Linked DNA regions of Coturnix japonica. The protein of the gene in region 1 binds, or shares a complex with, the protein of each later gene. Links are inferred from orthologs where the notes say so. Each region holds a gene or a part of one and is shown in the gene's direction. Other genes may lie near its edges. The genes, in order: COQ7 and COQ4.

The links.
Region 2: COQ7 (region 1) and COQ4 share a complex: the UniProt entries of both Homo sapiens proteins name them as parts of the multi-subunit COQ enzyme complex. The link is inferred for Coturnix japonica from reciprocal best matches to the Homo sapiens genes COQ7 and COQ4.

Annotation. Positions count from the first base shown.
Region 1 is NC_029529.1:8,179,258-8,183,774, reverse strand, and holds the start of COQ7 (5-demethoxyubiquinone hydroxylase, mitochondrial), read left to right. Parts: upstream 1-1,522; 5' UTR 1,523-1,580; coding exon 1,581-1,656; intron 1,657-1,766; coding exon 1,767-1,954; intron 1,955-2,052; coding exon 2,053-2,167; intron 2,168-2,278; coding exon 2,279-2,418; intron 2,419-3,784; coding exon 3,785-3,853; intron 3,854-3,945; coding exon 3,946-4,023; 3' UTR 4,024-4,517. Other genes in the region: TMC7 (transmembrane channel-like protein 7), read left to right, coding at 233-292. UniProt on the Homo sapiens protein: Catalyzes the hydroxylation of the 5-methoxy-2-methyl-3-(all-trans-polyprenyl)benzoquinone at the C6 position and participates in the biosynthesis of ubiquinone.
Region 2 is NC_029532.1:3,727,425-3,731,746, reverse strand, and holds the start of COQ4 (ubiquinone biosynthesis protein COQ4 homolog, mitochondrial), read left to right. Parts: upstream 1-1,260; 5' UTR 1,261-1,275; coding exon 1,276-1,333; intron 1,334-1,452; coding exon 1,453-1,629; intron 1,630-2,063; coding exon 2,064-2,160; intron 2,161-2,739; coding exon 2,740-2,842; intron 2,843-3,165; coding exon 3,166-3,295; intron 3,296-3,807; coding exon 3,808-3,901; intron 3,902-4,136; coding exon 4,137-4,299; 3' UTR 4,300-4,322. Other genes in the region: mitochondrial mRNA pseudouridine synthase TRUB2, read right to left, coding at 1-66, 341-422, 586-647, 775-849, 926-1,045, 1,131-1,227. UniProt on the Homo sapiens protein: Lyase that catalyzes the C1-decarboxylation of 4-hydroxy-3-methoxy-5-(all-trans-decaprenyl)benzoic acid into 2-methoxy-6-(all-trans-decaprenyl)phenol during ubiquinone biosynthesis.

The DNA of each region.
Region 1 (4,517 bases):
CTTGTGGCATCCGTAATTAGGCATACAGAGGACAAACAGTCTTCCTGATGTGAGGTAAATGATTTCAAAGCCATTGTTAAACTTCTAGTTTAGGCAGTTGAGAGAGTGCTGTTAACCACTAATTAGAGTGCTGGTGATGAGAGCATCTATCTACTTCTAATAAAGAAATGAGTTAGATATAGAATTTGTACGTGTTTTTATCTGAAGTGTACTTTTTATTCTGTCTTTCCAGGAGAGTCGTGACAAGTTGTTCCTAATTGAAAAACTAACAGAAGCTCAGAAAAATTCTTGAAAACCACAAAAAGCCAGAAGTTCGCATGTGATGCTCCTGGAACCACTAGATAAGGGTAGATGATCTGCAGGATGTAAAAACAGCAGCTGACCAGTACTGTGATCTGTGTAGCAGGTGCTTAATGTTTTTGTTAGTGTTGATTATGCTAGTGGGCCTTATAGTTTCCAAGACTGGAAGTTTAGCTTATTTGTACCATATTAGACCTGTTTGAAACATTCTGTGGCAGGGTGTTTTACTGCTGCTACCATCTCAGAGCTGTTAGGATCACTGATAAGTTCCTGGTTTGTTTGTATTTTTCAGGAGTTTGGGGCAAATTATGATTAGAACTGCAACCATTTAAGAACTCCATGCTGTTTTTATAAATTATACTTGAAATAATTGGGGTGGGGTGAGTGGTTTGGGGGCGGGGGCTGACTTTTTCCCACCCAGATCTCTTTTAAAACGGAAGCAAAAGAGACACATGTCCGTGATTTGAAGTAGTGCAGTTGAACACTAGATCAAGAAGCATGAGGAGGATCTCACTGCTGTGCAGGAGCCTCTCGCAGATGGTAAGGCTGTACTGCTTGCATTTCAGCTCTGAACAAGTGCCTTGAATACAAGTGCCTCGAATACTGCTCCGTGTTCTAAAATGTGAATGTTTGGGCGTTATTTATAGTCAGAAATGCAGCATTCAGAGCTCGGCTGCTGCCCTTTAGATCTTGTTTAATGGACAGATGCAGCTGTGTGACTCAGATCGATGGTTCCACGTAACCTACGAGTTTCTCCCTCTATTTAAAGGCAGTTTTCCTGCACATTGCTGTGTACATTACTCGACATTTCCTGGTCGCACACTGGTGTTTCATGTAAGATAATTCCTTTTTACGTGATGTTTTGTAATGTTTTCCGTCCTCAGTTTTTGATTAACGTGTAATAAACCAAATTTTAAAATCCAGTATCTGATCTTTTAAAAAACGTTTTATTGGACGATGGAAGCCGTGTTGGCAGTTTGTTTTTTGGCTTTATTTGGCTGTGAAACACGTTTAACACGACGCTACCATGTGTGAGGCCTTCCATAGCTTCCCCCTGTGGCACCAAGCGGGATCTACCTCATGGCTCCCGCCTCATGGGCTCCCGCTTCCCGCCTCCCTTTCGTTCCTATGGGAACCAGGAGACGCTGATTTAGATTGACAACTCCGCTGCCCAGTGCGGAGGAGGCGGGCAGCCAATGGGAATCGTGATGGCGGCGGGAGGCGGGCGGCTCGCGGTGATGACGTAAGCAGCGCGACGCAAAGGCGTCGGGGTCAGCGGGATGGCGGCCGCCGCGGTTCTGACCCCGGCGCTGCGGGGCTCGTTGGGCCGGTACCGAGCGCTGAGGGGCCCTGCGGGTACGGAGCTGCCGCTGCCCAATGCCGGACGGACCGAGCCTTTCGCCTGGGCACTTACAGCCGGGGCCGGGCGGCGGCAGAGCCCGGCTCACCTGTGTCCCTTCCGGCAGGTCGCTGTGGAAGGCGGCCTGTCCCCGCCCCGAGGCCCTGCAGCACGAGGCCGGCTCTGCACGGCGTCAACAAAGCCGTCATCGATCGCATCATCCGCGTGGACCACGCCGGGGAGTTCGGTGCCAACCGCATCTATGCCGGGCAGATGGCCGTGCTGGGCAGGTCGGCAGCCGGGCCGCTCATCCAGGTGCGTGGACACGAGCCCTCCTGGTCTGCGTTGCGCTGCTTGGTTATAGCGGAGAGTTGAACTTCTCGGGTCTGTGCTGTCATTTGGTTCTGTTACAGCAAATGTGGAATCAAGAAAAAGAACACCTGAAAAAGTTTAATGAGTTAATGGTTGCATACAGAGTCCGACCTACTGTCTTATTGCCTTTCTGGAATGTAGCAGGCTTTGTTTTAGGTGAGTTTGTGTTACTGTTGCTGTTGTTGGTTTTGGAAGTCTTCACGTGCTTCAATTATTCACGTTGTTTCAGATTTCACTGTTTGTGTACGTTTGGTACTGCAATCACAGGGGCTGCAAGCTCTCTGCTTGGAAAGAAGGGTGCAATGGCTTGCACAGTAGCAGTGGAAGAGAGCATTTCAGACCACTATAACAACCAGATCCGAACTCTGATGGAAGAAGATCCAGAAAAGTACAAAGAACTGATGCAGGTAACTGTGGCTTGAAAGGGACGTCAGAAATTCATTGAACTTTATAATATGACTTGACTTTTAAAATATTGCACCAATCTGGATTTCCAGCATCTCTCAATTCTGTTGTTTAGAATTCCAAAGTGAATAGAAATTTTAGGATAAAAGATGGCTCTTCCTTCCTTCAGCAGCACTAAGCCTATTGAGTAGCAAATTAAAACATACATTAGATTAACTTCAGCATGCTTTCAGTGCTTCATTGCTCCCCTTTTCTCTGGGAGAGGTGGGACTTAATTGTGGTTACTTTTAATTGAAAGGTAGGGGTTAGGAGGGAGAAAAGGGAAAGCAGTGATGACATGATCATATCCAGCATAAGCAAAATGTTACTATGTGAGTCTAGTTTTGAACACTGCTCAGAGGAAGAAAGGAGTTAGTGTTTGTTAGCTCTGCAAGAGAATTATTTCCCAGTTGCTTTAGGAGTTGCACTGGGATGTGCTCCTGTAGGGTGTTCATGAAGGGCTGACCTCAGATATTGCAAGTTCAACTTATTTGTGGTAGGAGCTTACTTTACAGCCTGTGTATACAGTTCTAGTTCTTTGCTGTATGTTACTGTGTTCAGTTGTGTCTAGTTTAACATGCTGACAAGTCTGCTTCTATCCAAATTGTATTTGTGTTTTTATGTAACCAGATTGTGCTGATGTGCATAAGGAAAATATTGCCTATGAAAATAAGGGCTGGTATCTGAGTGCAGAATACAGAAGAAGGAGTTGAGTAATAATGTTATTCACAGCCTCAGTATGAGGAACAGTAATGAAAGCAAACTTCTTGGATGGGGACAGTGGCTGGAGTTATTCAGATGTCCTGGTTATCTCCAGTCAGACCAAGAGGAAATTCTTTAGATCTTTTTGTCCTAGTTGGAAAACTTAGAGGAAAAAAACAGTGTTCTTTAGACTATGCTGAAATGGACAAAAGCTGTGTTGGGTAACAAGGAAATACCCTTACTGGTAATCTGTCAAGGCAGACGCCTTAATTTAGTTAATTGAATTGTCAAGGTAGCAGATGTGTGTGACAAACCAGTTAATTACTGTGACTACAGGTTTTCTTAAAATTTTTAAAAAGATAGTGATATAGAATGGCCTGAGCTGAAAAGGACCTCAGAGATCACAGTAGCTTTGTTTTCTTCAATACTCCTGCAGAACATTTAAATAACTCTAGTTTGGGGAGATGATATAAATAATCCTGTTCTTGGAAGTTGAAGACCTGGGGAAGCTTCTGAGAGACCCGGGCTTACTCTCGTGCACACAATGAACGACAGACTGTGGTTCTGTATTCAGCTGCCTTGACTTTTCTGCAAAGCAGACTTACTAATTACTTGCTGTTTTTAAAGATAATAAAGCAATGTCGGGATGATGAACTGGAGCACCATGACGTTGGGCTTGAGCACGATGCAGAGAGAGTAAGTACAGTGTTAATTAATTGGTGCTGCTCTATTTCAGATAAAGCTCCATCCTGCTAAGTACTTCTCATTTGTTATTCTTTGTTTTACAGGCACCGGCTTATTCTGTATTGAAGACGGTAATACAGCTTGGATGCAAAGCTGCAATATATTTATCAGAAAGAATTTAGTGATGTTTTCCATAATGCTTGCAGTAATAAACTGTGAAACGAAAATGTATGGAAGACTAAGCTTAGTTTTTATTCAGACTTTTAACATTTTCTTAATTGAGCATGTTTTGACCACGTCTGCTTTTGTCACTTTGAGTACCTGCTCAAAAAATCAACACTTGAGTCGTTTGGGCTGAATGTGAACAATGGCAGAATTGGCAGAAACTGTTCACAAGGTGGCAGTAAAATATGTATGTATTGACATACAGACTGTGGGTGTGTATTACATAGATATCTGCACACATGAACACAGTACGTTTTCTATTGCCTTCAATTTTATATATACTTGAAGTAAGTTGGAGCTTATTAGCTCATTTTAAAATTGTCTGTATTGAATAAGTAGGATATTTTTAAATTGCGTTTTCAGGGTAAGTAAAATGAAGTGAGCACTTCTGTTCGCTCTGCCTCGAGCAGAGATTGGTTATTATAAGATTTTGTTTTAAGCTTTGCCAACT
Region 2 (4,322 bases), on another chromosome or scaffold:
AGGCCTTGTGGTTTGTTCCTTGGATGACGGCGAGGATCCGTTCCAGCTTCTCCCTCGTGATATGATCTGCAAATATCACAAGGTAGAAACAAAGCCTCAAAATCCATCTGGAGACTGGGAGGACAGCAGCCTGAGTGGTGCCATTGGTGTCAGCAGTGGTTAGGGCTAGGGATCAAGGCACCTTAATGTGGTACGTGCATAAAGAGAGGCCAGGAAGCATTTGGAGCATTGCCTTTGGTTGTGCATTTCACCTGGCCTTGCTGTTCAGCTGGAGCACTGTTTGCTTAGTGCTCTGTTGAGGGTTTATTTCCCCCTTAAACACATCGATTCCGTTTCTTACCAAACGTTGTCTTCTCTATCAGCTTCCCAGTGTCTGAGAAGTCCTCGGTGGCTTTACCAAACTGCCCCCTCACCGTGTAAACCTCCAAGAGAAGCAGAGGGTGTCATCCATCAAAGGGAGGCTCAGAACAACTGAGTCCAGCCATCAGCCCGGCCCACCGCCGACCCGACCCTCCGGACCAGCCCCGGGGTGGCACCGACACTCAGATCCCGTCCCAGGTCGCTCTGGGTTCCCGTGGCACGTACCTTGCTCAGGTGGCAGTTGTGCAGGTGGCTGAGCAGCTTGTTCCCATGTCCAACGCCGAGCACTGCAATGCAGGATGCGGGGCGGCCCTTAGAGCCGTGCCGGTCACGATGCTCCGCAGCCGGGAGCCGCGTGTTGCCGGTACGGCGGGGCCGCGTTAAGGCCCATCCCACCCAACGCCCCGCTCGCACCGAACACCCCCGATGCCTTCACGTCCAGCCGGTGCCCGGCTCCGATCTTCAGCTGCGTGAAGCGGGGCCCTCGAACTGCGGACAGACACGGAGATTAGCACGGACCCTCCCGGTTCTCCCTGTTCTCCCGCACCCCCCGGTGCTCACTCACCCAGGCGGTGCTCGGCCAACACCGGCACCTTCACGGCCACCAGCCCCGGCGGCCCCGCGCTCGCAGCGGGCAGGAAACGGATGCGGCTCCGCGGGGGCCGCGCTGGGGCCGCGTTGAGCTCTGCAAGGAACGGGAGAATAAGCACAGACCGAGACCGAGCCGTGTGTGTGTATGGGGCATTGGGGGGGTCCTGAGCTCCGCTCACCGCGCAGCAGCCGCGTCTCCACCGCATCCCGCACGCTGTTCCACGCCACCCCCGGCGCTTTGTACACGGCGAACAGCCCCGCAGGAACCGCCGCCATCCCGCCCCGCCCCGCACGGCCCCGCCACGCCGCTTCCGGGGCTGCGCCATGCTGCGGGGGGCGGCGGGGCGGGCTGCGCTGCTGCGGGCGGTGCGGGGCGCTGCGGGTAAGGGAACCTCGGTAATGGAACCCGGGTAAGGGAACCCGGGTAAGGGAACCCCGCTATGGGAACCCACTCGTCCCGAGCGCCGTGACTCTGAGCTCTGCCACCGCCGCTCCCCGCAGGCAGAGCCGGGCTGGGCCGCGCTGTGCCCCGCGCTGAGGATGAGGAGGAGGAGGAGGAAGAGCAGCCGGTGGGACGCGTCCCGCTGTACCCCGGGCACATCCCCACCAGCACGATGCAGAAAGCGCTGCTGGCGGCCGGCTCGGCGTGCGCCGCGCTGTGGGATCCCTATAGGCACGGTGCGTGGGGATAGGGGAGGTGGGATGGATCCGAGACCTCACCGCTCCCTGCAGTCCATGCAAGGAGCTGCGGTGAGCTGGGGTCGGGCTCTGCTCATGGGGAACAGCGGTGGGATGAGAGGTGACGGCCCCGTGTTGTGCTGCGGGGGCTCAGGTTGGATATAAGGGAGCATTGCTGCTCAGAAGGAGCGGTGCTGCACAGCTGGGGTCACCATCCATGGAGCTGTTAGGAATGGTGGGGCTGTGGGTGGGCATGGCAGGTGGGCCGGGCTTGGACCTGGGGGTCTGAGAGGGCTGTTCCAACCTGGATGGTTCTGTGACCCCCTGCAGCACTCGGGGTCCCCTCTCCTCCCATCAACAAAATGTGTCCAGGCATCACAAATGCAGGAGTGCAGGGATGGTGCTGCTGTATCACTGTGCAGTCTCTCTTTCAGACATGGTGGCAGTCCTCGGTGAGACCACGGGCTGCCTTGCCCTGCCCAAGCTGCGAGACAGGATGAGGAATGACCCCGAAGGTTACCGCATCCTCCAGTGCGTTCCCCATACCCAGCCCCAGCCCTCCACCTCTGCCCCTCTGTCAGACCCCATCCATCCACCCCATTGATCCGGGTGTATTCCCTGAGCCCTGTAAAGGAGACCCCCACACTGCTGCCCTGTGAGGAGCTCAGGATCTGTCAGCTCTGAGCCTCCCAGCTGTGGGTTTTGCTCTGTACTCAGCTCACAGCAGAGCCCTGCAGCAGGTCCCAGGGCAGCAGCACGGAGCCCCTGGGCTGTTTCAGCATCACAGTCTGTTCTGCTCTGCTGCCACTGGCAGGTGCTGTCTCTCTTCATGTAGATGCTGTGTTTTCTGTTTCATCCCTTGCAGCATCTCCTCCCTTGGGGACTCCACCCCCACTGCTTTGTCTTCTCCATAGGCACCTCCAGGTTTTCATTCCACCACCCACAGCATCTCCCTGCGCTGTGAGATAAGACTTGATGGCTTTTGCTTCTGTGTCTTCTGTGTCATGTAGGGGCTGCGCTGGGAAGGGCAGGGAGGGCTGTCCAGGTCTCCATCTGCCCAGCACCCCCAGTGTGTGGGTCCCACATGATGCTCAGTGCTTTCTGTTCCAGGGAGCGGCCTCGCATCCACCTTTCCACACTGGACATGGCCCGGCTGCGGGGGCTGCCAGATGGCACATTGGGCCGTGAATACGTCCGCTTCTTGGAGGACAATGTGAGCCTGGGATCTCACTGGGGTTGGTGTCTGTGCCAGGAGCACAGATGAGATTTAGAGGGAGGTTGTGGCTGTGGAGAAGCCCATAGGGCACCTGGAGGAAATGAAAGGAGTTGGTGGGAGCTGAGAGGTTGGGATGTGATGCTGGGTGTGGGTTATGCGTCCTTGGTGCTGTGCAGCCCGTGTGTTTGATGTGTGTAAATGATACCCACAGCATTAGGGGCTGAGAGATACACTGATGGTGAGCTCTGCATTGCTGTGTGTTAAAGATTGAGATCAGAAGCTTTGAGTTCTGGCTGACCTGCAGCTCTCTGCCCTTGCAGAAGGTTTCTCCGGACACCCGCATGCCAGCCAAGTTTGTGGATGATGAAGAACTGGCGTATGTGATCCAGCGGTACCGAGAAGTGCACGACCTGATGCACACCCTGCTGGGCATGCCCACCAACATGCTGGGTGAGCTGCCACGTTTCATGCTGCCCAGGGATGGTTTTTGGCCCATTAGAATCCCTGATCCCCAGCCCAGAGAGGTGCATGGGGAGGCTGGCAGCATCCCTGTCCCTGCACCACTGTCCTCTGTCATCTGTGTGTGTTCATTGTCTGCTGGGTTAGATCACAATGTGGTGTTACACAAGCTCTGTCAAGGGTTTCCTGGTTGTTCCTTATGTGTGCCTCCCTGTGTCCTTTCCCCTCATTTTATATCTGACTCCAAGTCACAAGCTGAGCCTTCCTGGTGAGCCAGCAGGAAGCAGCATTTCTGGTCCCTTGGAAGGTTCTGGCTCAGATGTGGCTGAAAATGGGCTTTTCCATGCTGGGAGATGGGGAAAGATACCCAGGGAAATCCTCATTTAGCAGTTGCATCACTAAAGATCTCCAGGAGCGCAGCCTTTCTGGGGGATAACACAGGGCTCCTGTCCCGATGTGGGGCCGTGCCCTGTGCTTGCTCACTGTGCTCTGCTTGCTGCCAGGTGAGGTCGTGGTGAAATGGTTCGAAGCTGTCCAGACGGGGCTGCCCATGTGTGTGCTGGGAGCAGCGTTTGGCCCCGTTCGTCTCAATGCAAGGTAGGCACACGTGCTGGCTGATAAAGATCCATGTTGGCCTGAGCTCTGCTCTTGGGTGTAACCTTCCCACACAGAGTCCCGTCCTATGCCTCAGTTTTCCCTGTGAGATAAGCAGGAGTGCTGGAAGGGTGCAGGGGTGTAGGGTTTGCATCTGCCCAGAACAGGGACTTGCAGGAAGAAATAGAAAACCAAATGTGGAAATGAAAACCATTGTTTTCTGTGCCCTTTGTTGCAGAAAGCTGCAGGTTCTGGTCACTGAGCTGCTTCCATGGGCCATCCGGAGCGGGAGCAACGCCAGCTGTGTCCTGTGTGTGTATTATGAGCAGCGCTGGGAGCAGAGCGTGGAATCCCTGCGGGAGGAGATTGGCATCTTCCCTCCTCCTGCTGTCCGTGTGTGAGCGAGGAATGGGGGCATCCCCCG